Linked DNA regions of Sus scrofa. The protein of the gene in region 1 interacts with the protein of each later gene in a pairwise test. Links are inferred from orthologs where the notes say so. Each region holds a gene or a part of one and is shown in the gene's direction. Other genes may lie near its edges.

The links.
Region 2: the proteins of GAPDH (region 1) and PRDX1 interact in a two-hybrid assay, tested with the Homo sapiens proteins (2 studies listed by BioGRID and IntAct, with this or other methods). The link is inferred for Sus scrofa from reciprocal best matches to the Homo sapiens genes GAPDH and PRDX1.

Annotation. Positions count from the first base shown.
Region 1 is NC_010447.5:64,125,606-64,140,379, reverse strand, and holds GAPDH (glyceraldehyde-3-phosphate dehydrogenase), read left to right. Parts: upstream 1-6,359; 5' UTR 6,360-6,441; intron 6,442-6,714; 5' UTR 6,715-6,732; coding exon 6,733-6,755; exon of another isoform or gene 6,756-6,848; coding exon of another isoform or gene 6,849-6,901; exon of another isoform or gene 6,902-8,529; coding exon 8,530-8,629; intron 8,630-8,708; coding exon 8,709-8,815; intron 8,816-8,936; coding exon 8,937-9,027; exon of another isoform or gene 9,028-9,153; coding exon 9,154-9,269; exon of another isoform or gene 9,270-9,352; coding exon 9,353-9,434; intron 9,435-9,643; coding exon 9,644-9,795; exon of another isoform or gene 9,796-9,882; coding exon 9,883-9,961; exon of another isoform or gene 9,962-10,044; coding exon 10,045-10,128; exon of another isoform or gene 10,129-10,212; coding exon 10,213-10,310; intron 10,311-10,427; coding exon 10,428-10,497; 3' UTR 10,498-10,700; downstream 10,701-14,774. Other genes in the region: NCAPD2 (condensin complex subunit 1), read left to right, coding at 1-94, 588-765, 848-942, 1,590-1,670, 1,807-1,990, 2,952-3,078, 3,176-3,331, 3,546-3,631; IFFO1 (intermediate filament family orphan 1), read right to left, coding at 12,186-12,291, 13,487-13,617. UniProt on the Homo sapiens protein: Has both glyceraldehyde-3-phosphate dehydrogenase and nitrosylase activities, thereby playing a role in glycolysis and nuclear functions, respectively.
Region 2 is NC_010448.4:165,842,710-165,857,199, forward strand, and holds the start of PRDX1 (peroxiredoxin-1), read left to right. Parts: upstream 1-4,680; 5' UTR 4,681-5,214; intron 5,215-5,283; exon of another isoform or gene 5,284-5,654; intron 5,655-6,880; 5' UTR 6,881-6,891; coding exon 6,892-6,997; intron 6,998-8,691; coding exon 8,692-8,845; intron 8,846-9,191; coding exon 9,192-9,314; intron 9,315-9,624; coding exon 9,625-9,755; intron 9,756-14,490. UniProt on the Homo sapiens protein: Thiol-specific peroxidase that catalyzes the reduction of hydrogen peroxide and organic hydroperoxides to water and alcohols, respectively.

The DNA of each region.
Region 1 (14,774 bases):
CCATTGTTCGGTCTAACCTCATGATTGCTACTGGGGATCTGGCCATCCGCTTCCCCAACCTGGTGGACCCCTGGACCCCTCATCTATATGCTCGGTGAGAGATCCTTCACAGTGCCTGAGCTGTCCTTGGCAGCCCCAGAGGCTGGGGTGAGGTCGGCGAGAATCACCAGGACTATGTCCCCTGGTCCCCAGCCTTCCCTTGAACGTCTGCTTGATACCTGACCTGCGCAGGCCCTGGCTGAGTGTGGCCCCAAAGGGATTGACGCCTCTTGTCTAAAGCCTTGGTAATAGGCTTGGTCTTTTTCCTTAAACCCAGCTTTTAAATCTAGAAAACCTCTAATTGCTTCTAGAATGGCACAGTAGGCCATAGTGGGGTTCTCTTGTACAGTGGGTTAAGGATCCAGTGCCGTCACTGGAGCAGCTCGGGTTGCTGCGGTGGTGCGGGTTCCATCCATGGCCTGGGAACTTCACATCTCACAGGTGCAGCCAAACACAAAGAGGCCATAGATTCCTGCTGAGGGCCTCCAGGGCAGCGTCAGGGTGTAGCCCATGGTCTTGGTCCCACTGACTTGAGATCTCATTCCTAGCCTCCGGGACCCGGCCCAGCAAGTGCGTAAAACAGCCGGGCTGGTGATGACCCACCTGATCCTGAAGGATATGGTGAAGGTGAAGGGGCAGGTGAGCGAGATGGCCGTGCTGCTCATCGACCCCGCTCCTCAGATCGCTGCCCTGGCCAAGAACTTCTTTAATGAGCTTTCCCACAAGGTAAGAGGTGGGAGCAGCCTCAGGTGTGCTGCCAAGGGAACACGCAGGTCTCCTCTCTGTGACGTGACTGTCTGTCTTACAGGGCAACGCCATCTATAACCTCCTTCCAGATATCATCAGCCGCCTGTCGGCTCCCGAGGGAGGGGTGGAGGAAGAGCCTTTCCACACCATCATGAAGTACGCTTCCCTGGGCCTTGGGACACGTTTTCCATGTAGCGCAGGCTTAGGACTCAGACAAACCTGTGTGTGAATTCTGGCTCTGCGGCTCTGTGTCTCTGTAGCCGTGTGGACTCTAGCAGTGACAGCCTCTCTGTGCCTGTTCCTCCTGTATAGAACGAGCCCCTAAATGCTTGCCCCTTATTAGTCCTTAAGAAGATTCAGTAAGATGAAAGTTCCTCCATGAGGCTATGGGTTCGATACCTGGCCTCACTCAGCAGGTTAAGGATCTGGCATTGCTGTGAGCTGTGGTGTAGGCCAGCAGCTGTAGCTCCAATTCGACCCCTATCCTGGGAACCTCCATATGCCGTGGGTGCGGCCCTAAAAAGACAAAAGACAAAAAAAAAAAAAAGATGAAAGTTCCTAATGGGGGTAAGCACATACTAGTACTAGAGGATCGCTGCTTTTGTCCTAAAGTTCCAGTCACAGTGAAAATTGCTCAGGAGGGTGGCAAGGACCCCTCCCTGAGGGACAGGAGAGGCCAGGGACGGGCCAGGGCAGGGAAGAGTCGGCTGCTGAGGCAGGAGGATGACAGAGGCTGGGCCGGGCCTGGGGCTGGGCTCGGAGCCGCCCCTGGAGACAGCCCGTTGGTATCTCCCCTCCTGCAGGCAGCTCCTCTCCTACATCACCAAGGACAAGCAGACCGAGAGCCTGGTGGAAAAGCTCTGTCAGCGGTTCCGCACAGCCCGGTATGCTGCCTCCTGGAGGGTTCTCTGTGCCCAGAGGAAAAGAGCGCACGGTGGCATCTGGGCTGGGAGGGACTGCGGGGCAGGCATGGGCCTGCCCTCCATCCCCCTGCTCCTCACCACGCCCTCCCACCCGCAGAACTGAGAGGCAGTACCGGGACCTGGCCTACTGCGTGTCGCAGCTGCCCCTCACAGAGCGGGGCCTCCGTAAGATGCTGGACAACTTTGATTGCTTTGGAGATAAACTATCAGACGAGTCCATCTTTAGTGCCTTTTTGTCAGTTGTAGGCAAGTTGCGACGTGGAGCCAAGCCGGAGGGCAAGGTGAGTGGCGCCTGCTGCATTCCAGCCGCTGTTCTGAGGAAACCCAGCTGGTTGCAACCAAGTAACCAGAATGACCTGAGCTGGGATCTTTTTCCAGTTCCTGTTTCTTTGTTCCTTTTTTTTTTTTTTTTTTTTTTTTTTTTTTGGTGACTTTATTAAGGGCAATTTCAGGTTCAAAGCAAAATCAAGTAGAAGGTATAGTTTCTCCAAAGGCCCCATGCTCCCACGCAGGCACAGCCTCCTCAGTTACCCACACCCCCGCCAGAGGCCAGAGCCAGACCTATGGTACAGTGGGTGAGCCTGCCTCGACATGTCACAGCGCCCAAAGAGCACGGTTTCCAGGACAGTTCACTCCTGGGGTGCGCGCTATGGGTTTGGATGAATAGCTTGTGCCCAGTGCTGTGTGTTTCGTTCAGAGTAGTCCCCCTGCCCCAGCGCCCTCTGCTCCCCGTTCAGCCCTCTTCCTACAGCCCTGGCAGCCACTGATCCTTTTCCTGTCACCACAGCGTTGGCTTTCGCAGGATGTCACAGCATTGGAATCACAGCGTGTACCCTGCTCAGTTGGGTTCTTTCACTTAGTAATACAGATTTAAAGTTCCTCCACATCTTATCACTGCCTTGTTTCTTTTTAATCTTAGAAATAACTATTTCCTGGAGTTCCCGTCGTGGCTCAGTGGTTAACGAATCCAACTAGGAACCATGAGGTTTCGGGTTCGATCCCTGCCCTTGCTCAGTGGGTTAAGGATCCGGCGTTGCCGTGAGCTGTGGTATATAGGTTGCAGACGTGGCTCAGATCCCGCGTTGCTGTGGCTCTGGCGTAGGCCGGTGGCTACAGCTCCGATTCGACCCCTAGCCTGGGAACCTCCATATGCCGCGAGAGCGGCCCAAGAAAATGGCAAAAAGATAAAAAAAAAAAGAAATAACTATTTCCAGGCCTACTTTTAATCTTTTTTTCCTCCAGGCTGTAATAGATGAATTTGAGCAGAAGCTTCGGGCCTGTCACACCAGAGGTTTGGATGCAATAGAGGAATTTGAGATGGGCCAAGGAGGCAGCCAGAGAGCCCCATCAGCCAAGAAACTACCTGCTGGTATGTGAGGCAGTGCCTTGGGAGAGACCAGGCGGGGCCTCCTCGCTGATAGAAGTTCCTTTTTTCTTTTTCCAACTCATGCCTCTGCCTTTTCTAGTCTCTAGACACCGGCATCTGGCCTCTGCAGCTTCAGACGATGACTTTGTCACACCTGAGCCCCGCCGTACTACCCGTCGGCATCCAAACACCCAGCAGCAAGTTTCGAAAAAGAAGCTCAGAATTGTCTTTTCGAGCGACGAGTCCAGCGAGGAGGGTACGGTGCCCCTTTCTGGACCTGGCCCAGAGCGAGCACAGCTTGCAGGGAGGCCTGCTTTGATGGCAGGCCTGCCACATAGTCCCCCACCCCCACGTTGTCCTCCCCCCACTGGGCAGTGTGGTCAGGGACTGTCCCATTCGTTCTCTTAAGACCCGTTTTTCACCATCTTTGTGACTCAGCTTTGTCTCATTCCCCCAATTCTTTTGAATAGAACTGTCAGCAGAGATGATGGAAGATGAGACACCCAAGAAAACCACCCCCATCCGCCGAGCATCTGCTCACAGACAAAGATCCTAGAGGTGTCCTACCTGTTCCCATCCCAGCCAGCCCTGCAGGTGTCTTGTGGAGTGACCCTGAATTCCATTCCCCTTGTAAAATACGTGTTTACCTGTCTCCTTGGTTTTTTTTAATGTGTAAATGGTCTTTATAATGTTAGGCTTTGCTAAACTAAGCCTAACTGAACCAAGTCAAGTTGTTTTCCAGAATGTGTGTTTGCCAGTTTCTTTGTTTTCTAATGAATAAATATTTTTATATACTTTTAGAGGTTTTTCCTAAGCCTGTCTGTGTTTCATCCCACATTAGCCCAGAGGCAGGCAGCAGACAGAGGGTTATTGATCCAGGAGTCTGGGGCCTGTGCCAGCATCTGATGAGCTTCGAGTCCCTTGCTGGCCCGTCCTTGCCTCTCAACCTCCACACCCTGCACACGTGGCAGGATTGCTCCGCTGTGCAGAATTAGGCAGTGCCTAGGCTTCAGATCCACGCTTCTCAATCTGGGGGCAGTGTTGCCCTCCAAGGGACATTTGACAATATCCAGAGACTATTTTGTTGTCACAGCCAAGGAGAGGGTGCTAACAGCAGCTAATGAGTAGGAGCCAGGGGTGTTGCTAAATATCCTACAATGCACAGGACGGGTCTGATGCAAAGAGTCATCAATGCAAAATGTCAGGAGTGCTGAAGTTGAGAAACCCTCCTCCCCAGGGGCTGGCTGCTCTGTCCTGCCCACCCTGGCTTGTGCCCCTAATTCCAGCTCTAGACAGTGTAGAGACCATCCCCCAGGGATTTGGCACCACGTTTACAGGGTCTGCAGGATGTCAGCCCCTCAGCTGCAGGCCCTGTTCACCCCCTCCTGCCCCCCAAGATTTCTCTGCTGAGTCACCTGAAGCGGAGGCAGTGAGGCTGCTGTCATGACAACACTGGTGTCTTTGCTGTCATGACAACAGCAGACTGCGTCAGTCATGCTCCCTGGGCACTGAGCTCCCTCTTTTTTCAGCAAAGGACAGTAATGAACAATGACAAGCATGCAGCAAAGGGGAACATGCTTCGGGGAGCAGAGGAGGGTGGAGGGGCTCCTAAGGCCCTTGCCAGGGAGAGTATATGATCCTGGTGCTCCACTTCCCCAGCAGATTCCTCAGTGCCCAGCATCCCGCCTCCCTCACCGTTAAGTGCCCTCAGTCCCTGCTCTTGCCGCTCTTGAAAAGCCTGGGCACCGACTGTGCACATGGCTGCCAGCAACAGCCAGCCTTGGATCTGGGGCCCCAAGGAAGGAGGGCAGTCCCAGAAAGGGAAGGGACAGGACAGGCTTGAGTCGGGGTGCGGGGCAGCGTGCTCTCTGCCTTTTAAGCAAAGGTTATCATCCTGCGGGCTAAACTTAGCCACAGGCTTTTCAGCTGGAAAAGGGGGCTGGTCTCAGGTTACGCTGGGCCAGCAAAGAGGCCCCAATTCCTTCCACCAGCACCTGCTAATGGGCAACGTCCATTCCACCCTCCCCCCACCTTCCCTGAACCTTCAACACTTCAAGTCCTCAGAACCAACCCATCTTTCATCCTCTGCTCACAAACCTGGCCCAGCCCCAGCTTCTGAGGGACTGGTCTTGGAGAAGAATGGATTTCCTCCTCCACATCACGTCTGGGAAGGGGCTAGGGGCCCTTGTCCCCACCCTGTGTCCAAGACCTCCCAATCTTTTCCCTCTTATGGACACCTCACCCTGCCCCCAACATCCCCTGGGCGCAGCCAGTGAAAGGGAGGCCCTGACTGCAGGGCTGGCCTGCACGTCCCAGGATGGGGAGGGACTTCCGCTCTCACGTCCTGCTCTGCCCAGGGCTGGATGGGGTGAAAGGGACATTGTCTCCCAGCCCGGGCCGCTCAGCCCTCAAATTTCCCAGGAGCAACTTTGTGGGAGACCTCTGAGCCTCTACCTGGCCAGCCCCCCAAAGCGATCCTGTCCCCTCGCTGAGGCCCCAGCCAGCCAGGGCCTGGGGGAGAGCAGCTGGTGCACACAGGTCCTGGTTTGTCTGCTCGATTCTCAGATGTCCAGGCTGCCTGTCCTGCAGGGCATCGTGACCTTCAGTGCAGAAACTTCCCTCTCAGGCCTCCTTCCGAGCCTCCTTCCTCTCCAGGCCTCCCACTGGCCAGGGCCAGCCGCGGTCCCCAGCCCGGGGAGGCCAGGAGCCAAGAGAAGGGGAGGGGGGAAAGGGGAAGGGGGCTGGAGAGGGCCTTGCTGGAGGCCCCTCCCGGGCCTTTTCCTCTGTAGTTCCTGGGTCACTACCGAAGAGCCTCGAGAAGTTCCTCAATCTTCCCGCTTCTCAGCTTTTGAAGGGGGGGGGGTAGGGGAGACTGCAGCCGCGAGCTGCGAGCCGCGCCCCCAACCCCGGGTTCCGCTCCAATTTCCCATCCCACTGGCTCCCCATATCCTCCCGTTACATCCCTGCAGCAACTTTAACGTCCCTGGCTCCTTGGGTGTCCTCAGTTTTCGCCAGGGCCCCCTCCTCCTAGTCCACTGCCCCCTGCAGTACAACCCCAACCGGGCCAGGCAGCATCACCGGTCCCCTCCCCCTCTCCGTCCTCAGCCCACTTGTGTGGCGCGTGCACATTGGCAGAACCAGGCGGGTCCAAAGGAAAAAAAAAGAAGAAGTGGGGGTCGGCTACTCGCGACTTTACGGGCGCACGTAGCTCAGGCCTCCGCTGCTGGAGCTAGGACTGGGCGAGGCGAGCCCACGTCACCCCGCCCCCGCCCCGCCCCCTGCCCTATAAATTCCGGCTGCAGCCTTCCCCTGCGCTCTCTGCTCCTCCCCGTTCGACAGACAGCCGTGTGTTCCGTGCATTGCCAGGTAAAGCCTGGCGGAGTGGAGCCACAAGGGTTCGAGGACTGGTCCGAAAGGGACCGGGGGCCGTGCGCGGTCTGGGAGTGTGGGTGCGGGGCCCCGGCTGGAGCCGGAGTTGTGGCTGCGCCGGGCCGGGCCCCTGCATTGCGGGTTGAGGGGGAGGAAGGACGTGCAGAAGAGCAGAGCGAGGATGGAGGCCTGGGGGAGGGGCGGGGAGGGCACCGTCGGGCTCCAGCCGCTTTGCCCCGCGATCTAATGTTCTCTTTCCTCTGCCGGCAGCCGCGTCCCTGAGACACGATGGTGAAGGTCGGAGTGAACGGGTGAGTTAGGGGGTGGGGCAGGGTGGGGCAGTAAGTACTGCAGCCCCCACCAAATTGCGTCCGCAGGTCTCGCCCTACCGGGTCTGTGCAAGCATGTGGGGGACTTGGATGGGGTGGTCGTACCCCACCCCCAAGGAGAACTCAAGGTCAGCGCTCGGACCTGGAGGAGGCCCTCGCAAGGCCTCGTGTCCCCCATCCCTGGCTGTTGCGCGTTCTGTAACTCCGCCTCTGCGGAGCCTTCCTCTTCACCTGCCGCAGATACACAGCCCTGGAGTCTCCAATTCTTGCTTTGGCCCCATCCCCTAATCCCCCAGCTGGGGCTCTTTCTTTCCTTTCGCGCCCTGCGGGGTCACGTGAAGGGGAGGAGCCCATCCCCCCAGCCGCAACCAGTGCCCCCAGCCGGGCAGCCCCGGGATGCAGGAGGCACAGCTGCTGTGCAGAACCAGCTGGGAGGGGGCATCTGCGGTAACCTAGCCGCCATGTTGCAACTAGGAAGGAAATGAATGAACCGCCGTTAGGAAATCTTCCTGAGTCCTTCAATCTTTCTCCTTACTTGCCCATGACTAAGCCTTCTACCCCTGCCTCGTGGGGTGGAGTCTCCTTTATCCGGTAACCCAGGTCCGGCCACGCTTTCCCCTTCTTAGTCAGCTGGACCTCAGCTCTTAGCAAACTAACCCTAGAGCATCCCTTCAAGCCCCAGCCAGATTCCCCCCCCCGGGGATGAGGGGATGCTTTTTCTGGATGGTTCTCTGATGAATCAAAAACGGGGCTTTATGGGGGTGGTCTTGGGTTGTTTCCGGGTTGTTTCCCTTCTCTTTCTCCGGAGAGGTGTGGTAGCGTTGGCTTGGTGCCATGCCGGGGGAGCTGAGTCATGGGTACTTAGAAATTTTCCACAAAATGGCTCCCGGAGCCGGCGGAGCCGCAGCCCCTGTCTCTGCATCAGTGCTCCTTGAAGCTGCTTCCTTCCATCCATGCCTAGGGTTGACCCCACCCTAAAGGCCAAGCTGTAAAGGTCACCAGGAGGATTAGATGTCCGTGAGCCTCGGGAATCCTGCCCTTCTCCCCATCCCCTCTTCCAGAAACCAGATCCCCACTCCACCCTAAGCTGGGGTTAAATATAGCTGCCTGACCTTTCTGCAGCTGGGGGCCTGGGCTTCTCCCTCTCCTTCCCCCCCGCTCCCCACACGTCTATTGCTCCCACTCCTGATTTTGGGAAAAGAGCTAACAAAGACAGGTTCCTAACAAATCAGAAGCCCGGGATTCTGGGTTTGAGAAACGGCTTTCCCTTTTGTAGGAGGGACTTGGGGAAGGGGGGGGGTTTCCCTGGCCAGTTAACTTCTGACCTTTGCTCTTGCCCTTTGAGCTGGGTGATGCCAAGTGTGCAAGATTTTGCTCCCTAGAGGGTGTGGCCTGAAGCTGGCCAGATAGGAACAAGCATTTACCGACAGTGGGCCTGAGGAATGCCATGTGCCGGCCATGTGCCCAGACTGTAGGTGGCAGCAGCAGTGCACCACCCTGTCACCCCTTAACAGATTTCAGATGACCAGGGGGTGTGGGCCTGTCTCGGAGCTTCATCACCTCTTGGGCAGGATGGGAGCTTTTCACTTTGTGGCTGTGCTGGGAAGCCAGGCTGGTCTGGCAGGGTTGTGCGAGGAGGAGGAAATGAGATCTCCTGGTAGGAAAGTGCCCGCGCTGACAGCGGGCGCGTGGGCCTGGGACTGCTTACATCTCCAGGAGAGCTCACTCCTCCCTCCTCGCCTCTTGTCCCCCTCAGATTTGGCCGCATCGGGCGCCTGGTCACCAGGGCTGCTTTTAACTCTGGCAAAGTGGACATTGTCGCCATCAATGACCCCTTCATTGACCTCCACTACATGGTGAGTGGCCCCCGTGGCGGGGGCGGGGACAGAGCCTGCCAGGGCGCAGCCCCTTGATGCCCTCCCTCGTCCCCCCCAGGTCTACATGTTCCAGTATGATTCCACCCACGGCAAGTTCCACGGCACAGTCAAGGCGGAGAACGGGAAGCTTGTCATCAATGGAAAGGCCATCACCATCTTCCAGGAGTAAGTATGGAAGACGGAACCGGAAGAGCTTTGCCTTGGAGGAGGTGGTGCTGGGACGGGGTGACCACCTTGGGTCTGTGGTCCCCCGCGCCCCTGAACTTTGTCCTGTCTTCCCTTCTAGGCGAGATCCCGCCAACATCAAATGGGGTGATGCTGGTGCTACGTATGTTGTGGAGTCCACTGGTGTCTTCACGACCATGGAGAAGGCCGGGGTGAGCGGCAGGGAACCGAAAGAGGAGGGGACCTAACCGCGGGGTTGGTGTAGCGGGGAGACTGGGGGAGGCTGACTTGGACCAGGAAAGGGGAAGCCCGGGTGTCTGACTGCTCCTCTGCTGCAGGCTCACTTGAAGGGTGGGGCCAAGAGGGTCATCATCTCTGCCCCTTCTGCCGATGCCCCCATGTTTGTGATGGGCGTGAACCATGAGAAGTATGACAACTCCCTCAAGATCGTCAGGTGAGCTTGGTGGAGGGGGCGGGGGGGGTCATGCTGCGCGGGACCCCGTGGACCTGCCCGTTGACTTGCCTCCCTCGTTTCAGCAATGCCTCCTGCACCACCAACTGCTTGGCACCCCTGGCCAAGGTCATCCATGACCACTTCGGCATCGTGGAGGGACTCATGGTAGGTGATGGGGACTGAGCCAGAGCACGTTCTGTCCTCACCCAGGACTGGATCCTTCCCCTCCCAGAGCTCAGCCCGGAGCTGTAGGGGCTCAGGACATCAGAGGAGGGGTAGGGTGGGGTGGTTCCAAGCACTGTGTCCCTTAGTTCTTCCCAGAGGAGGCGTCACAAGCGCTAGGCAGGGCCTTCACTCCCCCTCCTTGTCTCCAGACCACGGTCCATGCCATCACTGCCACCCAGAAGACTGTGGATGGCCCGTCTGGGAAGCTGTGGCGTGATGGCCGAGGGGCTGCCCAGAACATCATCCCTGCTTCTACCGGCGCTGCCAAGGCTGTGGGCAAGGTCATCCCTGAGCTCAACGGGTGAGGCTCTTTGCTGCTCTCCTGCCCTGGGTGTCTGGGGCACCAGCAGGGGTGGTGCTGACTCTGCTTGCTTCCTCGTGTCCCCAGGAAGCTCACTGGCATGGCCTTCCGTGTCCCCACCCCCAACGTGTCGGTTGTGGATCTGACCTGCCGCCTGGAGAAACCTGTAGGTTTGGGTTGGAACAGCTTTGGGGGGCTGAGGGGTTGTAGGATTGGTACTTGAATAACCATCGGTTTTTACCTCATCAGGCAAAATATGATGACATCAAGAAGGTGGTGAAGCAGGCGTCCGAGGGCCCCCTCAAGGGCATCCTGGGCTACACTGAGGACCAGGTACTGATAGGTCAGGGAACTTGGTGTCCACACGACCCCACTGACCAAGACTGGGTTCCGTAATTGGCCCTCTTCCTTCCCCAGGTTGTGTCCTGTGACTTCAACAGTGACACTCACTCTTCCACTTTTGATGCTGGGGCTGGCATTGCCCTCAACGACCACTTCGTCAAGCTCATTTCCTGGTAGGGTGCTGGGGGATGTGGCGGGTGGGGAGGGATGATGCTTCAGAATGTGATCAAGTCTGGTGCCCCCTGGTGGCTGCTCGGGAAAACCACACTTAACTCTTGCTCTCCTTTCAGGTACGACAATGAATTTGGCTACAGCAACAGGGTGGTGGACCTCATGGTCCACATGGCCTCCAAGGAGTAAGAGCCCCTGGACCACCAACCCCAGCAAGAGCACGCGAGGAGGAGAGAGGCCCTCAGCTGCTGGGGAGTCACAGCCCCAACTCGATCCCCCAACACACCGAGCATCTCCTGACTTCCAGTTTCCATCCCAGACCCCCGGAAGAAGGGGAGGGGCTTAGGGAGACCTGCCTCGTCATGTACCATCAATAAAGTACACTGTACCCAGCCTCCTGTCGTTCTCACTCTAGAGCCTGGGATAAAGAGGAGGGAAGCCGGGCTGGGGCCAAGGAGAACTAGAGCTTGCTGAGGAAACTCCACCCTGGGCTCCTCTGAAGAGCCACCTGTCCTCGTGTTGCCTTAGTGAGGCCTCTGGGTGCTACAGCTCCAGACTGCCGTGGCTGAACCCAGGAATGGCCTGGCTGCTTGCACCCAAGACACCATTCTGTCTGCAGCTCCCTGGAGGGGGGCACTGGCACAGGAAGTCCATTTGGCTACGGCCTGACTGCCAGGAGTGGATTCCAGCTCTGCCCTGTCACAGCTGTGAGCCTCAGTGCCCAAGAGATTGCCATCTGTGGTACAGCTGTGCCAGTGCCAGCTCAGAGATTGTTCAGAGAAGTTACAGTAGGTTAGCCCAAGGGAAAGGTTGGGGTGGTTTTATTTCCATGTCTTCTGTCACCTGCGAATGCGCACAGGCTTAGTGGGAAGAAGCAGAGACAGCACTGACAACCTGGATGGAGGCCCTGGTTCTGCTACTTGAGGTGCCATTACTTTGGGCAAGTTGCTTGTAACCCTGTGTGTCTGTGCAATGATCACCAGTGCACACCACACAACAGGGACCAGAGCCACCACCGAAAAGTTGCTGGAAACAGTGACACCAAAGCGTTCAATAAATACTCGCCAGTTTCATTAGGATTAGATTCCACTCAAACGTCAGTTCAGCACAGCCTGCCTCAGCCAGCAAGGCCGAGGTACCCTCAGTCACGTCTCCCCATTTTTCTCCAAGCTTTTCTGAGTCTGGGCCACCTTCTCACTCGGCGTGTGTCAGACGAGGAGGAGGAGGAGGAGGAGGCGCATCTTCGGCTGATGCTTGAAGAAACAGACCCCTGAGCACAGGAGCACACATGCGCCCACACACGCTCACGTGCACCTTTCTCCGTCCCTCGGCAGTGACTGGGAGACTGCAGGAGCTCCTGTCCCCTCATGCTACTGCACCCCATCGGCCCCAGAGGCCGCCTAGACGCGTGGCACTTCCACGAGGGAAGGGTCATGGCCGCGTCACTCCACTGTCCATGGGCAGAGAGCCGCCCAGTCCTGTTCCCTGCCCCTGCGACACAGAGGGACGCCCTCTCCCGCTGCTCAGGCCGTACCAGCACCTGGGCCAGTGAGCACCAGAACAGAATCAGGACGGTCCGCTGGCTCAAGACCACCGGGGTGGAAGGAAGAGCCGACAATCACACTCCTTACTCAGAGGACGGGGTGAGGGTCGCGAGCACTCTGGCAGCATTTTAAAGATGGGAAAGTAGCGGACACCCACGCATGAAGGAGGACAGCCGGCTGTGCAGGGAGTCGCCCGGGAAGGGCGGGCTGAGCCTCACTCCAGGCACCCCAGGACCCTAGAGAGGCCGAGGACCAGGGGAGGAAGCCGGGGGAGCGCCCGGTCCCAGGGGCCAGGCTCGGTGAGTCCCAGCAGGGCCCCGCTGCGCGAGGTCCCTATCTCATGGAGCTGTCAGATGAGACATCGCGATCGGAGTCCTCAGCCTCGCTTGGCGGTGGCGGCGGGTCGCTAAGCGGGACCGCAGTGAAAGCAGGAGACTTTCTAGAAAAAAACACCAGTTGTAACCTCCTCCAGGCATGCAAGAATCCTGACAAGCTGGCATCCTGCACCCTTGGCCTTATTCCTGGCAGGCAGGTGAATAACATCTTAGGCGGGGCAGGAGGACTACAGGACAAGGGCGGATGCGGATGCAGGGCAAGGCCGGCAGGGAGGGAAGAGGAAACCTTGCCCACTCCACCCCGATGGGGGGAACAGTTCCCACTTTTAACTTGGGGACCAGGAGAGGCTGAATAGAGGCTGAGTTCAGAAAGATGTGAAGTCACAGTTAAGAGGGGCCGGCTGAGTGCCCTGGCTCTGTGGCCCCCACTCCATGCTTATCTATAGCGGGTTTGTGATTTATTTATTTATTTATTTTTAATTTCATGGCTGCAAGTGCAGCATATGGGAGTTCCCAGGCCAGGGACTGAACCATGCCACACCTGTGCCAACACCAGATCGTTTACCCCTCTGTGCCGCCAGGGATCAAACCCATACCTCTGCAGCCCCCTGAGCCGCCGCAGTCAGGTTCCTAACCCACTGCACCACAGCAGGAACTCCTAGTTTTACGATTTTTTTCAAAGCTTACACAGAGTCAAAGGCACAAATTGTGGCTCTAACTTTAGATAAAATTTTGCCCCCACCCCCTTGCACTCTTTGTCAGAATTTAGCTGCTTTTCTTATTTTTTTCAGTGGCACTCATGGCATGCAGAAGTTCCCGGGCCAGGGATCAAACTTGCACCACAGCTGTAACCAGAGCCACAGCAGTGACAACACCGTATCTTTAACCCACCGAGCCACCGGGGGACTTCTTAGCTGCCCTTAAGGGGTGCAGGGGCAGCGGGTGGCACCGGAAGCACATGAACGTTTCTGGGGCCAGGGATCGAATCTGAGCCGTAGCTGTGACCTACGCCACAGCTGTGGCAATGCCAGGTCCTTAACCCACCATGCCACAGCGAGAACTGCCTTTCTGAGTGGGGGAACCACCAGCCTTGGCGGCATCGGGAGGTTTGGGCTGCGCAGCCGTGAGTGGACCTAAGTATCCAACTGCTGAGGGAGTAAAAGCTGCCAGCCTGGGCCAGACAAACGAGGCAACCTTCAAAGGGCAGCCTCGTGACAAGTGCCTAAGTCACTGCTGGAGGGTCTCAGGGCTCGTCGTCCGAGAGGGGCCCACACTCGGGGCGGGGGGGGGTGTGCTTACCGGTCCCCAGACTGGGTGATAAGCCGGCGGCAGGTCTCCATCTGCACGTCCAGGCCCCGCTTCATGCTGCACATCTCCATGTACTCGTGCAGGTGCCGGTTCATGTCGTTCTTGGCCGTGGCCAACTCCAGCTGTGGTGGGGTTTGGGGGCAGGGCCGCCGGGTCAGTAGAGCCCCCGCCCCCAGGAGGCTGACCTGCCGAGGGCACCCAGGGCAGGGGTGCAGGCAGCCGTGGGGTAGGGCTCAGATTTAAAACCAAACCAGCTCAGGGCAGGAGGCACCGCTTCACCACTGCTCCTCGTTTCCCCAGGCACCTCTGCCCGCAGGGGCTTTCGCTAAGGGATCTGAGCCAGGCCTGGCACCTTGGAACAGACTCACTGAGGAAAGGAAGGGACGGTGGGTGCGAAGGACAGGGATGTCCTGGCGCTCACGAGCGGCTCCCTGTGGAAGGCCTCACCCCTCCCTGGGTCCCCACGTGGCCTGTTCAGTCCCTCACTCCCTGGACGGGGGGCCCCTGGCAGGGCCGGCCACGGCCACGGGGCCTCGGCATCTGCACGCCCCGCACCTCAACAGGCACTCGGGGCTTCACCTCATAGAGCAGCTACAGGACTCGTGGCCCAGTGGCCCCCTGAGCTCAGCAGCCAGGGGCTCCCCTCTCTCACCGCTCATCTCCTCCTCCCTCCTCCTCCTCTCTTCTCCCACTTGTAAGCCCGTTTCAGAGGCTAACAGAAGGACTGTCTGCCACATCAACCGTCTGACAGGTTATGAGATGGAGCCCAATTCAAGAACCGCTACAGGTGAAGAGGTGCGGGGCCTGGAGTCAAGGAAATGCAGCCTCCCTCCCCGAGCCTGACTCTGCACCACAGGCTCCGAGGCAGAGGCGGGAAGAGATCCAGGCCGGAGACAATCTCCTGCCTGTCTTTGTTTGGACACAAAGAACAGGGGCCAGAGGGGGAGGCTGAACACAACTGTTGGGGGCGATTTGCCTGACTGCCCGGGAGCACAGAGAAAGGGCGGGAAAGCATCCGTGAAAGATCTGAACTGGGCACAGACAGGATGGGAACTTAGAGAAAAGGAAATGGTCACAGGGCCAGACAAAGAGATGGTCAGGACGGCGACGCGGGGGGTGGTGAGATGGTGGCTTGGGTGGGGGCTGCGGCGGGCGCGGGGTCGGAAGCCCTAATGAGCACGGTTCTAACGGCAGCCTTGGTTTCAGAGCTGGGCTTGCGGCCCGGGTTCTGCAGCAAGCCGAGGGGCAGGACGCGCTGACCGGTCAGTCCAGCTCCGTC
Region 2 (14,490 bases), on another chromosome or scaffold:
TGGTGCCACAGTGGGAACTCCTGATGAAAGAATTCTTGTAATGGGTGGAAGGTTGGATGTGAAGCTCCATGGTCAGTGCAGGGCATGGAGGAGCCTAGGGTAGTACATAGTACCTAGTGGGAACTTAATTGTTAAATTAGTTAACAGGGGTTTCTTCCAATTCTGAAGGGCTAGGGTTCTATATTTTTTTGAGCAAGTAACAGTTCATATGTAAATATTTAATTGTATAAGTAACCAATTAAAGTTACATATCACTTTATGAAAGGTCTGCAATACCTTAAGCATTATTAGAAATAGCGTGACTGTGTTCCCCAATTCCAGGGGCACGATTCACATAGAATATAACGTGAATATTACCCTCTGAAGATGTGCCACACAGAGGGCTTTATTATAAATAAAGGCAAGGGGGAGTACCTGTTGTGGCTCAGTGGTTAATGAATCCGACTAGGAACCATGGGGTTTTGGGTTTGATCCCTGGCCTTGCTCAGTGGGTTAAGGATCCGGCGTTGCCATGAGCTGTAGTGTAGGTTGCAGACATGGCTCGGATCTCGTGTTGCTGTGGCTCTGGTGTAGGCTGGCGGCTATAGCTCTGATTAGACCCCTAGCCTGGGAACCTCCATATGCTGTGGGTGTGGCCCTAGAAAAGACAATAAATAAATAAATAAATAAATAAAGGCAAGGAGTTCCCTTGTGGCATAGCGGGTTAAGGATCCAGTGTTGTCACTGCCTTGGCATGGGTTCAATCCCTGGCCCAGGAATTTCTGCATGCCACAGATGCAGCCCCCCAAATAAATAGATCAAATAAATAGAAGGCAATTTAATAAAACAAATTACCACCTCTAGTAAGGGTAGGGAAAAAAAAATAACAACTCAGATTCTTTTTTTTTCCTAGCATTTCCATATGTTTATAGGCCACAGTCAGGAATCCTGTCTCTCCTTTCAAATTTATCAAGATCCCTTGCCTGTCTAACAGCATATCCTTTCTTCCTTTTCTCCTAACAGAATCTCAGCTGATAGACACAATTTCCAGCCTCCCTTCGGGATTAGAAGCAGCCACGTGACACACTTGAGTAAATGCTTTGCAACCTGAGGGATTCTGGGACTGCTCGGCCTCCTCTTTAGAGTCCCCCCCACACTTGTGGCTGCCTTTTTCCTTCTCCCTGCCTGGAATATATGGATGCATTTGGATGTAGAGCAGACATTTTGTAACATTGTGTAAGAATAAAAGCTGCATGCTAGGGGTTTGAGAAGAGAAAAGTGTAAGTCTGGGTTCGTGATAACAGCCTTCAACTGCTTAACTGTGAAATGGCAAAAATTAATCTCCTATTTGAGCTTGCTCTCTGAGTTTAATCTGTTACTTAAGCCGTGTTCAATGCTAGCAAACATATTATTCTGGATAGCAATGGTTCTCAAATTGGTATCTGCAGGTCTTTGCGTGTTCCAAATATAATTTTACAAATTGAATGCTTGTAAACTAAAGGATTCAAGCGTTCTTCAAGAGCTGTTAAATGTAGTGGTTTTCTTTCAACAATAATTACAAAAATTAGCATAAGCCTAATTTGCATCAACTGGGTGTCCTCATCACCATAGCTGAGAGCTGCCCTGGGATTTTATTTCCATGATTGCCTTTGTTGTTCGTCACATTAAAGCCTTTAGCTTTACTAGTTTGTAGGTTTAACGTGAATGGTTCATAGGTTTCACTTGAATGGTTTATAATTTTTCTCATGACAGGCTGCTCTTAGGTTAGTAAGTCCTTGCTGTAAAATGATCACCATTCTAGGACATCTGCTTTCTACGCTTACTGAATTGCCCTCACCTGTTGCTTCTAGTTAGTTATGAAGAAGGGGGCGATGGCTGGTAGGTCAGTCTGTCAACAGTGTTTACCACAGCAAATCAGTGCAGTGATGCAACTACTGCTTTAAGCTACGTGAGGGTCGGATGGTGTCGAAGGACATTGTACGAACGAAAGTTTCCTGCTCGACTGAACAGAGAAAGGCAGTGGGAGAATTAAGGCACCATCACAAGGTGCTGGCAAGTGTAGGGATGCAGGACTCAGGAGGCGATGGACTACGGTATGCAGTAGTATCAGGACCACACAGTGCCAAGGGTATTGCTGAAGGAAACGCATCTTGCGTATTCCTTCTTCTCTCCCTCCCTCTCTTCCTTTTCTTTCTTTTTCTTTCTTTTCTTTCTTTCCTTCTTGCCCTCCCCCTCCCTTCCTTCCTTTCTTCTTTCCCTTTCTTTCTTTCTGCTTTTTAGGGGCGCACCTGCAGCATATGGAGGTTCCCAGGCTATGGGTCTAATCAGAGCTGTAGCCATCAGCCTATGCCATAGCCACAGCCACAGCCACGCCAGATCCAAGCTGCGCCTGTGACTTACACCACAGCTCATGGCAACGCTGGATCCTTAACCCACTGAGCAATGCCAGGGATTGAACCTCCGTCCTCATGGATACTAGTCAGATTTGCTTCCACTGAGCCACAATGGGAACTCCCTCCACTCTTGTGGTTCTTAACTGAGACATGTAAGCCTAAGCGCCCAGCCCAGGGCCTGGCGCATGGTAGATACAATAAATGGAAATTTTCTTTTGGCTGAAGTAGGACTATGTGTTGTTGGTTTAACCTACCCATAATAATAACCATCCACTATTAAGCTCTCACCCTCTAGGTCTCCCTGCCTCCTCAAGAAGGAAATGAGTAATTGGGCCACCATGCTGTACAGTAGGAAAAAATTGTATTGGGGAAATAACTATTAAAAAAAAAAATCCAGGTTGGATTGTGGTAATCACAGAGCAGTCAGAATACACATGTACAGCACGTTCCTATGACCCTTTCCTGCTTCTAAAATGAGCTGAGGCGTTCCCGTCGTGGCGCAGTGGTTAACGAATCCAGCTAGGAACCATGAGGTCTTGGGTTCAATCCCTGCCCTTGCTCAGTGGGTTAAGGATCCGGCGTTGCCATGAGCTGTGGTGTAGGCCGGCAGCTACATCTCTGATTCGACCCCTAGCCTGGGAACCTCCATATGCTGCCGGAGTGGCCCAAGAAATGGCGAAACAAGACCAAAAAAAAAAAAAAAATATATATATATATATATATAAATAAATAAAATGAGCTGAATACTATGATTGCTTTACAGATTTCCTGTGGACATCCAATATCTGCTGGTTTTGACACCTGGGATCAGTCATAGACCAGTGAATACAATTTCTAATGGGAGCCAATAATGACACTCAAGATAATAAATTAAAAAAGGACATGTAAAGGGAAAAAAAAAAAAAAGGAAATGAGTTCCCTATGGTGCAGTGGGTTAAGGATCTGGTGTTGTCACTCAGCAGCTCGGGTCACTGCTGTGGTACAGGCAGAACCCTGGCCCCAGAAAGCCCTAAAGCCTTGGCCACAGCAATTAAAAAAAAAAAAAAGAAAAAAAAAAGGAAATGAATAATGCCCAAGTAACAGTTCTGCCTCAGAGAAAGAAAAAACAAAAAATCACTTCTGTTGATGGCAGGATGATAAATACCTCCAAATATTGAGATGCCCAGCCAGCATGACACAGCACTTCCCTCTTTCTTATCCTGCTATAAAGGTCCAATGGAGTTAGGAGAATAATGGGGGATGGGGGCAGAAAGGGGAACACAATATTATTTCTTAAACATTCCTTTTTTTTTTTTTTTTTTAACATTCCTATTTTATATCAGCTGTTATGTTGTGACTTGAGGAATCAGAGGTGGATGTAACAAACCCTACCCTCCAGAAAGTCAGTCTAATAAGGAGAGGTAAACACATAAACAAGTAAATTAGCTTTAAAGGTTTGTGGGTTTTTTTGTTTGTTTGTTTTTGTTTTTGTCTTTTTGCCTTTTCTAGGACCACTCCCTCGGCATATGGAGGTTCCCAGGCTAGAGGTCGAATTGGAGCTGTAGCCACAGGCCTATGCCAGAGCCACAGCAACGCGGGATCCGAGCCGCATCTGCAACCTACACCACAGCTCATGGCAACGCGGGATCCTTAACCCACTGAGCAAGGCCAGGGATTGAACCTGCAACTTCATGGTTCCTAGTCGGAATCGTTAACCACTGAGCCATGACCTAAAAGGTTTTTGTTGTTGTTATCGTTTGGGCATGAAGGGGAATGGTTAATTCTGGGGATGAGTGAAAGAAGAGTTCCAGAGGAAGTAGTGCTTCAGCTATCTTCAGATACGTTTTCTCTAGGCCAAATAGGAACAGGTTCTTTGTGCTTGAGCAAGAGCCTGAAGGCGTGAAACAGCTACACTCTGTTCTGGGTGTTACAAAGAGGAGCAAAGAACTAGGTACTGTGCTAAATAAACTACAGAGATGATCTCAACAAAGAGTTAATAGCATTCCCTTTCTTTTTTTTTTTAAGGATTTACTTGTTTTTATTTTTTCTTTTTGGCCACACTCGTGGTGCATTCCCATTTTTACAGGGGAGAAGAGTAAGGCTAACAGATTAAGACTCTTGCATGAAGGTCACACAGAATGACAGTGAGGAGTTTTAACTCAAGAATACAGGATCAGTTTTTCGGAACCACAAATTAGAGGCGTGAGTAATATGGTCAGATTTCAGAGTCCCTCCAGCTGCAGTGGAATGGATGGGAAGGGAAGGCAGAGGTAGGAACCCATAGAGGGAGATGGAAAAGCAGCCATCCTGCTGTCAGACAGAGCAATTAAGGGAGGCTGTCTAAGCAATCTGGGTTACTGAGATCAGCACTAGAGCAGAGGTTGTGGGAATCTGGGCGGAATATCTGAGAAATATTTGGATAGATCTTTCTCCGGCCCGATGGGGGGGGGTCTTCCGTGGGCAGCAGTGAGGACCTTTACCCAGGTTTGGGCTTGAAGGGCAAGGCGCACGGACTCCCCCACCCCCGCCCCGCCTCAAATCTTGGATTCACGGAGGCATCGGGAAGGAAAGTGATTGATCTAAAAGGTGCCTTCCGCGGACACCTCAACCCTCGAAGGCGAGGAGGGGATTGGTACTGTCTCCACCCGAGCCCGCCCCCAGGGAAGGAAAGCGCTGAGTCATCCCGGCGGGGCGAGTTGGGTCGGGGCGGTGCTGGGGCCAGATCCCCCTTCCGTCTCCCCCGCCCGCACCCCCGGCCCGCCCTGACTCTCGCGAGAGCCTCACGGGCTATAAAGGCAGCGCCCCGCGCGTGCTTCGCGTGTCTGCTTCCTGGCTGCGCTCGGTGGCTTCTGCTTGAGGACTGGTGAGTTTGTGGGCGGCGCGGCTTCAGCCGACCGACCGCAGCGCCCCACTCCTCTCTCGTTGCCTTTTCCTCCTCTTCCTTCTCTTCCTCCCGGCCCGCCCGGCTTAACTGGGGGGACGCTCTGCCGGAGAGGGAGCCTCACATGGGACCCCCTTTGCCTGCGGGACAGCTGCCTGGTTGAACCCCGACGCCGCCCGCGCCCTGCGTCCCCTCTTCCCCCGGCAACTCAAGCAGAGGGCGCTGATTGGCTTGGCGGGGCCGTCGGGGCGGGTGGGTGGTGACGGGGTCCCCTACGGGGCGGACGGGTTCCCGAAGCTTCTAAGACGGATTCAGAAACTGGTCAGAAACAGACTGCCCGTCCGTCGTGTAGGAGGGGAAGAGGCTGTGCCTGCTCACCAGTGTAGCCGTGGGTCCTGATTCCCTTCTCCATCTTTTTCCATGTGCAGAATGGGGTTTGTGGTGATTCTAAATGCCGTTAGTGAAGACTCCTGGTGCTTCCGAAGTGCAGCGGAGGGACGATGGGGGTGGCAGGAAACCACTTGAATTGGCCTTTCGGGGGGGGGGGCCGTAGTTTTCTCCGGGGAACTTCAAGGGGAGCTTTCCTGAGGGGACCTCGTCGGCTGGAAGTCCTGCAGCCTTTCCCCCCCCCCCCCATTGGTTGTGCTTTAGTGGACGTGGGGGCACCCGGAAAAGCAGGTCTGGACCAGAAGGCCGTTAGTGTTAGGGTCATATACTATGTTTGGTTGCCAAGTTGCTTCGTGTCTTACTGGTTGTTTTTTCTTGTTTGTTTTATTATTTAAAGGTGCTAACCCAGTAAAAAAGTTTGACAGTCGATGCTCACAACGTTTCTTTTGGTTGTGGTTTTATGAACCAAGAACTTTGGGACTTGAAAAATTAGTTCTTTGGGTCTTTCAAATCGATGGCTTATGGGGTTAAATCTTGACGTCTTATCTTGGCCTTGACCTGGGTGAATCCAATGCAGCATTGCTTTTTCATAAGAAATTGACTCTTGTTCTACTTGTTATTGCCCCGGGATCTTAGTCCCAAGGTCAGAAACCCATTTTTGAAAGGACTTTTGGGCCTTAAACACAACACTTAAAGTTTTGAAATTGAGCACATGCCAGACTCCTGGTCTTGCCGCTCAGAAGTTGAATTGGCTTTAGGGTGTGTGCTGTGTGTGCACATCTACCGGGAAAAGGTTAAGTGTGCTTCCCGTGTTCCAAAGGCTCAGGCTAGAGAAAAGGGTAACATGGCAGCTTCTCAGAGTCGGGTGCTCAGTGTTCACGGAGTGTTCATGGCATTGTGCATTTGGGTCTAGGTTTGGGAGTTTCCACCTCCTTCTCTCTGTGCACCTGTCTAATGAAAATACAGAAGAACATGCAATTGGACAAGTGATGGTTCAGAAAAAAACAAGAGTTTAACTTCAGTTTACAAAGAAATTGCTATTTTCAAATGAAAATGAGCTGAGATTCAGAGATCTGTAATGTTTTTGTTTGAAAAGTTGGAAAGCTTGCCTCATGCTTCTTAGCGTTCTAAAGGTTAATGTATATTCAGGACCACTGGACAATTCCTTTATTGTTCTACAGTTAAGTCTCTACGGAGATGAAGGTTGCTGGTTATCTAGAAAGAAAGGCTTGTTTCTAATTTGCTTTTTTATCTTTTCCAGCTGATAGCAATATGTCTTCAGGAAATGCCAAAATTGGGCACCGTGCCCCCCACTTCAAAGCAACTGCTGTTATGCCAGATGGTCAGTTCAAAGATATCAGCCTATCTGACTACAAAGGTAAAAGTAATTCTCTTCGCTTCAATATATGGAATTATAATACAGTCTAGAGATGGCTTGTTTAACTTCTGAATTTCTTGTCATGTTTGATTGTAAAGTGATTTTTAAAGTCTCTTAGGTCTTCGGGGGTAGGAGGCTGTTGTCTCCTGTGGAGTTGAAGTGGTCCTTATCCTCAGTGGTCAGAGGGTAGATGTCCTGAGTCCCAACCGCTTCATTATGTCTGGACATATTATCTTGATTATCTTCCTGGTACTGCTTTTCAGTCTCTTTATCTTGTTGTAAGATGCCTTCAACAATTTAAAATCTCAGTGCTCAAATAGTGGCAACTATGAGTCTGCCTGTTCAGTTTGTGAAATGCATGTGTCACAATTGCTGTATTATTAGGCAGAGAGCTTAGGCACATTCCTTTGACTACTTTGCCCTCAGAAAAGAGTTGATGTCACAGTTGGAACAGCTCCTTTCTGTTATAGTTTATTGTAGACACCTGGCATTCTCATGAGGCCTTTTTTTTTTTTTTTTTTTAAACCTTGCAATCCTGGAGCAGCAGGGCCTTCTGAGACAATTGAAAATATAGATTCCTTGGAATGCAAATCTGAAACTCAGGTGTCAAGTATACCTTTTGTAGTGGTATAGCAGTCAGTTCCTAGAGTTAGCTTTTGGGTAGATCTTATGACTAGATTTCTTAGCACATCTCACATAGGGGTTGGAACACGAGCAGGTCAGTGGGGCCCTATGGAGGGAGGCTTCTCCTGGCAAACAAAGTAAGTAGCACCTTAGGGAGGTGACCCAGGCCCAAGGGTAAAGCCATGAGGTTTTGGAAGAGCTCCTCTTTGCCCGCCAGGGCTTGACCTGCTGAAGCTTGTTAGGCAGAGCCCTGGAGAAGTTTGTTTAGATGAATGGTGTTAGCTTTCAAAGTGAAGTTCAAAAAGGAACAGCTAGTTATGATTTTCAAGCATTGATGCTATTTGGAAATAAGTGAATATTTGAAATTGTTCCAAACAGCTCAGCCCATTAGGTGTGGTGAGAGGCTGCCTGGCAGGTTGGTAGAGTAACTTTAGTAAAATTCCAGCTAGAAATCCTGTTACCTACTAGGAGAAATTTTTTTTTTTCTTTTTTTTTTAGGGCTACATCTGTGGCATATGGAGGTTCCCAGGCTAGGGGTCCAGTCGGAGTTATAGCCACTGGCCTACGCCACAGCCACAGCAATGCCAGATCCAAGCCGGGTCTGGGACCTACACCACTGCTGATGGCAATGCCGGATTCTTAACAACCCACTGAGCGAGGCCAGGGGTGGAGCCCACATCCTCACGGTTACTAGTCTGGTTATCACTGAGCCGCGTAGGAAATCAACTTAAAAAGGCTTCTTGGGAGTTCCCGTCGTGGCTCAGTGGTTAATGAATCTGACTAGGAACCATGAGGTTTCGGGTTCGATCCCTGGGTTAAGGATGTGGCATTGCCGTGAGCTGTGGTGTAGGTCACAGACGCGGCTTAGATCTTGTGTGGCTGTGGCTGTGGTGTAGTCCGGCTGCTACAGCTCCGATTGGCTCCCTAGCCTGGGAACCTCCATATGCTGCAGGAGCGGTCCTAGAAAAGACACACACACACACAAAAATAAAATGTCTTTAGGTTTTCATTGTCTATGAAGCAAGAAGTCTGTTTCGAAGGCTAATTTGTGGCTCCTTTTTTTTTCCCAGGAAAATACGTGGTGTTCTTCTTTTACCCACTTGACTTCACCTTTGTGTGCCCCACGGAGATCATTGCTTTCAGTGAGAGGGCAGAAGAATTTAAGAAACTCAACTGCCAAGTGATTGGTGCTTCTGTGGATTCTCACTTCTGTCATCTGGCCTGGTAAATCTCTTGGTCCATTTGGCACGTGGACTTTTGAACTGAGCAGTGACCGGGACTGGGCAGCTTTGGCAATAGACTTTCTCAAGTATTGGCCTCTGGCTCCTCATGGAAGGAGTGCAAAGGTGTTTTGACTTCCTCTTGTTGTTCTCTTATTACCTGGCAGCTTGGGTTGAGACTGCATGTACCCTGGTGACTTTAATTGTCCTTAGCTGTTTACTTTGCTGGGAAAAGCATGCAGCGTTTGGGGAGTTAGATTAGGAAGGTTGGAAATGGGAAGGAATAAATACAGTTAATGCTTTTGCTACAGAAGAATTTGAATGAATGTGATTGATTTTTTTGCTTGTAGGATCAACACCCCCAAGAAGCAAGGAGGACTGGGACCCATGAACATTCCCTTGATATCAGACCCCAAGCGCACCATTGCGCAGGACTACGGGGTCTTGAAGGCCGACGAAGGCATCTCATTCAGGTAAAAACCTGCGCGGGAGCTGACTGACAGTCAGCAAGAGAGTCATCTGATTGGCTCAAGGTTTTTATTGGAAAGGTAGAGCCCTGATCTGTAGAGAATTCTGATTTCATTTTTTTCCTGTTTTGTGGAGGGAATTGACGTACATCACTGATCGTTCATGGTCTCATTTCATTCTTTAGGCCTGAGGGCCTAAGGGGAAGGAAGGCCCATGTAAGTGCCAGAGACCACCCCATTTCAGTTTCTGCTCTGCTCTAACAGAGCCGATTCTAAAACTGCCGTCTCCCTCATACCTTGACTGTTTTCTCTCTAGGGGCCTTTTTATCATTGACGATAAAGGTATTCTTCGACAGATCACCATAAATGACCTTCCTGTTGGCCGCTCCGTGGATGAGACTCTGAGACTAGTTCAGGCCTTCCAGTTCACTGATAAACATGGGGAAGGTAAGCCAGGTCGCCTGCTAATAGGACAGCAGAATGGTGGGGTGGGGAGAATGGAAGGAACAAAGTCTACCAGATAAGAAAAGAATTTTTATGTCTCTTTAAGAAATTGCAGTCTTTATGGGGAGTTCCTGTCATGTCATGGCTTAGCAGTTAACGAATCTGACTAGGAATCATGAGGCTGCAGGTTCGATCCCTGGCCTTGCTCAGTGGGTTAAGGATCCGGCATTGCCGTGAGCTGTGGTGTAGGTCGCAGACGCGGCTCGGATCCTGTGTTGCTGTGGCTCTGGCATAGGCTGGTGGCTATAGCCTGGGAACCTCCATATGCCGCGGGAGTGGCCTTGGAAAAGGCAAAGAACAACAAAAAAAGGGCATTTGCAGTCTTTGGATTACTGTGGGTGGGTGTGGTGGGGTAGTGGAAAGGCTTGGGGAGGAGACTGTAAAGGCTTTTTGTTTCAGCTGCGTATTCCCAGCTCCTGCCCTGCTCATTTAGAATCGCTCACTGCTGCTGAGTCAACTTGTTAAAGGAATGTAGGAGCATCTCCTAGGTGTATAAGGGCACAACCAAAAAAGATCGAGACTCCCATCTAGAGAAGTGGGCTGTTCTTGACAGTCGTTTATTGGGAGAAGACCATATTCTTTAGATGATACTTGTTTTATTAGGGTTTTAAACAAGTTTTGAGATTTGGGAAATAAAAATTGGACTAAGATAACTTAACCGAAGACAATAGGCAGATAACAATTAATACTTTCTATCTTCTAAAGAATCCATTCTGTGGTGTGATGTGGTTGCCCTATTTGTAAGAATTGTAGTCACCAAATACCAAATTATATAAATGTTTAATATAAAAGTTATTTTAAAGGAGGAGTTAGGGCTAGGGAGTTTGAAGTGAAATATCAAGATTCTTCATTGTTTCAGGATCAAAGAATGTTTTTGTGGGAGTTCTCTCATGGTCTAGTGGTTACGACTTGGCGTTTTCAGTGCTGTAGCTCTGGTTGTCCTCACATCAAGTTGCCGCATGGCCTGGCAAAAAGCAAAGACCAAGACCAAGAAAAATGGGAGTTCCCAACATGGCTCAGTGTGTTAAGAACCTGATCAGTATCCATGAGGATGTGGGTTTGATCCCTGGTCTTGCTCAGTGGGATAAGGATCCAGCATTGCCATGAGCTGTGGTGTAGGTCAAAGATGTGGCCCAGATCCTTCGTTGCTGTTGTTATGGTGTAGGCTGGTAGCTGCTGCTGCGATTTGACCCCTAGTCTGGGAACTAAAGCATGCCACAGGTGCTCCCCTAAAAAAAAACCAAAAACCCAATAAAAAATCCTCCAAAAACCTAAATATAAAAAAAAATCTCCCCAAAGATAATGTTTTTGTGAGTCTGTCCTTGTAAAATCTGTGACTGAGCAGATTCAATTTGTTTTTTTTTTTTAATGTAGCATTGCTAGAGTGTAGGTCCTCCTTTTCACTGCTCTAGCTCTTTTCTTTTTTTTGTTCTTTTTTTGGCTTTTTGCCTTAGGGTCGCTCCTGAGGCATATGGAGGTTCCCAGGCTAGGGGTCAAATCAGAGCTACAGCTGCCAGCCTATACCACAGCCACAGACAGCAACGCCAGATCTGAGCCGCGTCTGCAACCTTCACCACAGCTCAGGGCAACGCCGGATCTTCAACCCACTGAGCAAGGCCAGGGATCAAACCCACAATCTCATGGTTACTAGTCGGATTCGTTAACCACTGAGCCATGATGGGAACTCTGAGCTCTTTTCTTATATAGTATCATTACCATGTTTTCACAAAGTTTTTTTTTTGTTTTTTTTTTTGCTTTTTAGAGCTGCACCCGTGGCATGTGGAGGTTCCCAGACTAGGGGTTTAATTGGAGCTACAGCTGCCGGCTTACACCAGAGCCACAGAAACACAGAATCCGAGCCGTGTCTGCCATGTACATACACCACAGCTCACGGCAACGCTGTGATCTTTGACCCACTGAGTGAGGCCAGGGATCGAACCTGCAACCTCTCGGTTCCTAGTTGGCTTCGTTTCCGCTGTGCAATGATGGGAACTCCCTTTGTTTTCATAAAGTCTTGAAGCACTTGATCCCATCCTTTGAATTTGTAAGGATGTGGCTTTTTTTTCTTTTTTTGGTTTTTATGGCCCCACCTGTGGCATATGGAAGTTCCCAGGCTAGGAGATGAATCGGAGCTACAACTGCTGGCCTCCATCACAACCACAGCAATGCTGGATCCTTAACCCACTGAGTGAGGCCAGGGATTGAATCTGCATCCTCATGGATACTGATTGGGTTTATTACCGCTGAGCTACAATAGGAACTCCCAAGGCTGTGGCTTTTGGTATTTCCCCACCTCCGCCCAGTGTATTTGCTGCTGGAATGAGACAGCCTTATCCTAACTAAGAGTTTAGATTTAAGAACGCATCTCCTCAGAGTGCTGCCAATACTGGGTCTGTAGAAGGGGATCTTGAACCCTACCCCCACCCCAGATTAATGTAATTGAGGATAAGATAGTTTTGTAAGTGCTACTGACACCAAGTACACAGAATGACTTATACAAATTTCTGTCTCAGTACATCTTATTGTTTATTTATTTTTTGTCGTTTTAGGGCCACACCTGTGGCATATAGAAGTTCTCAGGCTAGGGGTCGAATCAGAGCTATAGTTGCTGGCCTACACCAAAGCCACAGCAACGAGGGATATGAGCCAAGTCTGTGACCTACACCACAGCTCATGGCAACGCCAGATCCTTAACCTGCTGAACAAGCCCAGGGATTAAACCTGGGTCCTCATGGATACTAGTTGCGTTTGATGACACTGAGCCACGATGAGGACTCCTACAGCTCATTTTTTTTAGAAGATAAGTAGTTCGTAATAGCTCTAAATGAGGCTTGTTTCAGCTCTGATCTTGTGAGTTAAAGGAGGTGAAAGTTAAGAGTCTGGACTAGTGGTGTTTTTTTGCGGGACCCAAAAGTACTAGTTTGGCTAGAATGGAAGGTTCATAGATAATGGGAATCAGCACTGGTCTGAAGGCACCATTTGCAGAAGCATGTGTGTGTTTAACTCTGCACTGAAGGGACAGCTGCTGAGCCTGCCCCCTGGTGGGGAATGAGATTTAGCACAAAGATAGAGCTGGGAGTGGCAGTTGGTCCTTATGGACGTTTCTAGGAGCTTGCATATGTAGGCTAGACTCTTTTTTTCTTTTTGTCTTTTTTGTCTTTTTTTAGGGCTGTACCCGCAGCATATGGAGGTTTCCAGGCTAGGGGTCTAATCAGGGCTGTGGCTGCTGGTCTACGCCACAGCAACTCTGGATCTGAGCTGCATCTGTAACCTACACCACAGCTAATGGCAACGCTGGATCCTTAACCACCTCTGAGCAGGGCCAGGGATTGAACCCATGTCCTCATGGATACTAGTTGGGTTCGTTAACTGCTGAGCCACTACGGGAACTCCCTTATTTTATTATTTGCTTTTTAGGGCCATGCCTGAGACATATGGAAGTTTCCAGGCTAGGGATAGAATCAGAGCTGCAGCTGCTGGCCTTTGCCACAGCAACACCGATCTGAGCCATGTCCGTGACCTATACCACAGGTCACATCAACGGTGAATCTATAACTCACCGAGCTAGGCCAGGGATCGAACTGGTATCTTCATGAATACTAGCTGGATTTAAACTTGCTGAGCCAATAGGGACTCCTACATTGCTATTTTTAAAGTTGAGATAACGGAGTTCCCATCGTGGCACAGTGGAAACAAATCCAATTAGGAACCATGAGAGTTAAGGATCCGGCGTTGCCGTGAGCCGGGGTATAGGTCGTATAGGTCGTAGATGCAGTTCACATCTGGTGGTGCTGTGGCGTAGGCTGGCAGCAACTGCTCCGATTGGACCCCTGGCCTGGGAACTTCCGTATGCCTTGGGTGCGGCTCTAAAAAGACAAAACACAAAAAAATAAGGTCGAGATATAATTTACATATAGCATTATATTAGGAGTTCCCTGGCGTCCTAGCAGGTTATTGTCACTGCTGTGACTCGTTTGATCCCTGGCTCGGGAACTCTACATGCCGAAGGTATGGTCAGAAAAACATCATACTAGTTTCGGGTGTGACCTGGTACTTGTATATTCTATGTTCCTGCCTTTTTTTTTTTTTTTTTTTTTTTGGCTGCCTTGTGGTATATGGAGTTTCCAGACCATGGATCAGCTCCGAGCTGCAGTTGTGACGCGTGCCACAGCTGTGGCAATGCCCACTCCATACCAGCACTCCAGAGATGCCGCTGATCCTGCTCTGCCACAGTGGGAACTCCTGTTCCTGTTTTTAAGGACAGTAAACTAACACTTAGAATGTAGTCAGTTAATGTTGGACCTGGGATATAGATTCAAAGCCCTCCCTTTTTTAGGTAATTAGAACACTGAAAAGGTCAGCGTTAAGGCCCTTGTGCATTAAGGAAGTTCCCACATTCTGGGTTCCCAGACTGTATCATTTTCTCCTTGGAGGGTCGTGGAACTTCAGCTGCACTCGAAGGCTGGTGAATGTGGGACTTAACCACTTCTGCTGGGCTCCATATTGATTCTGAAAAACCAGTACTGTTGAGTATGAGTGCAGCATCCAAGTGTGGCTCTCTCTGTCCTGTCATTAATTATTGGTATGGTCTTAGGTGCCAAGAAGCCTTAGTGCCAAGGAGACTGCATTGTAAGGTCCTTCTTTCTGTTCTTTATTCCTCCTGTCTTTGTGTCATGAT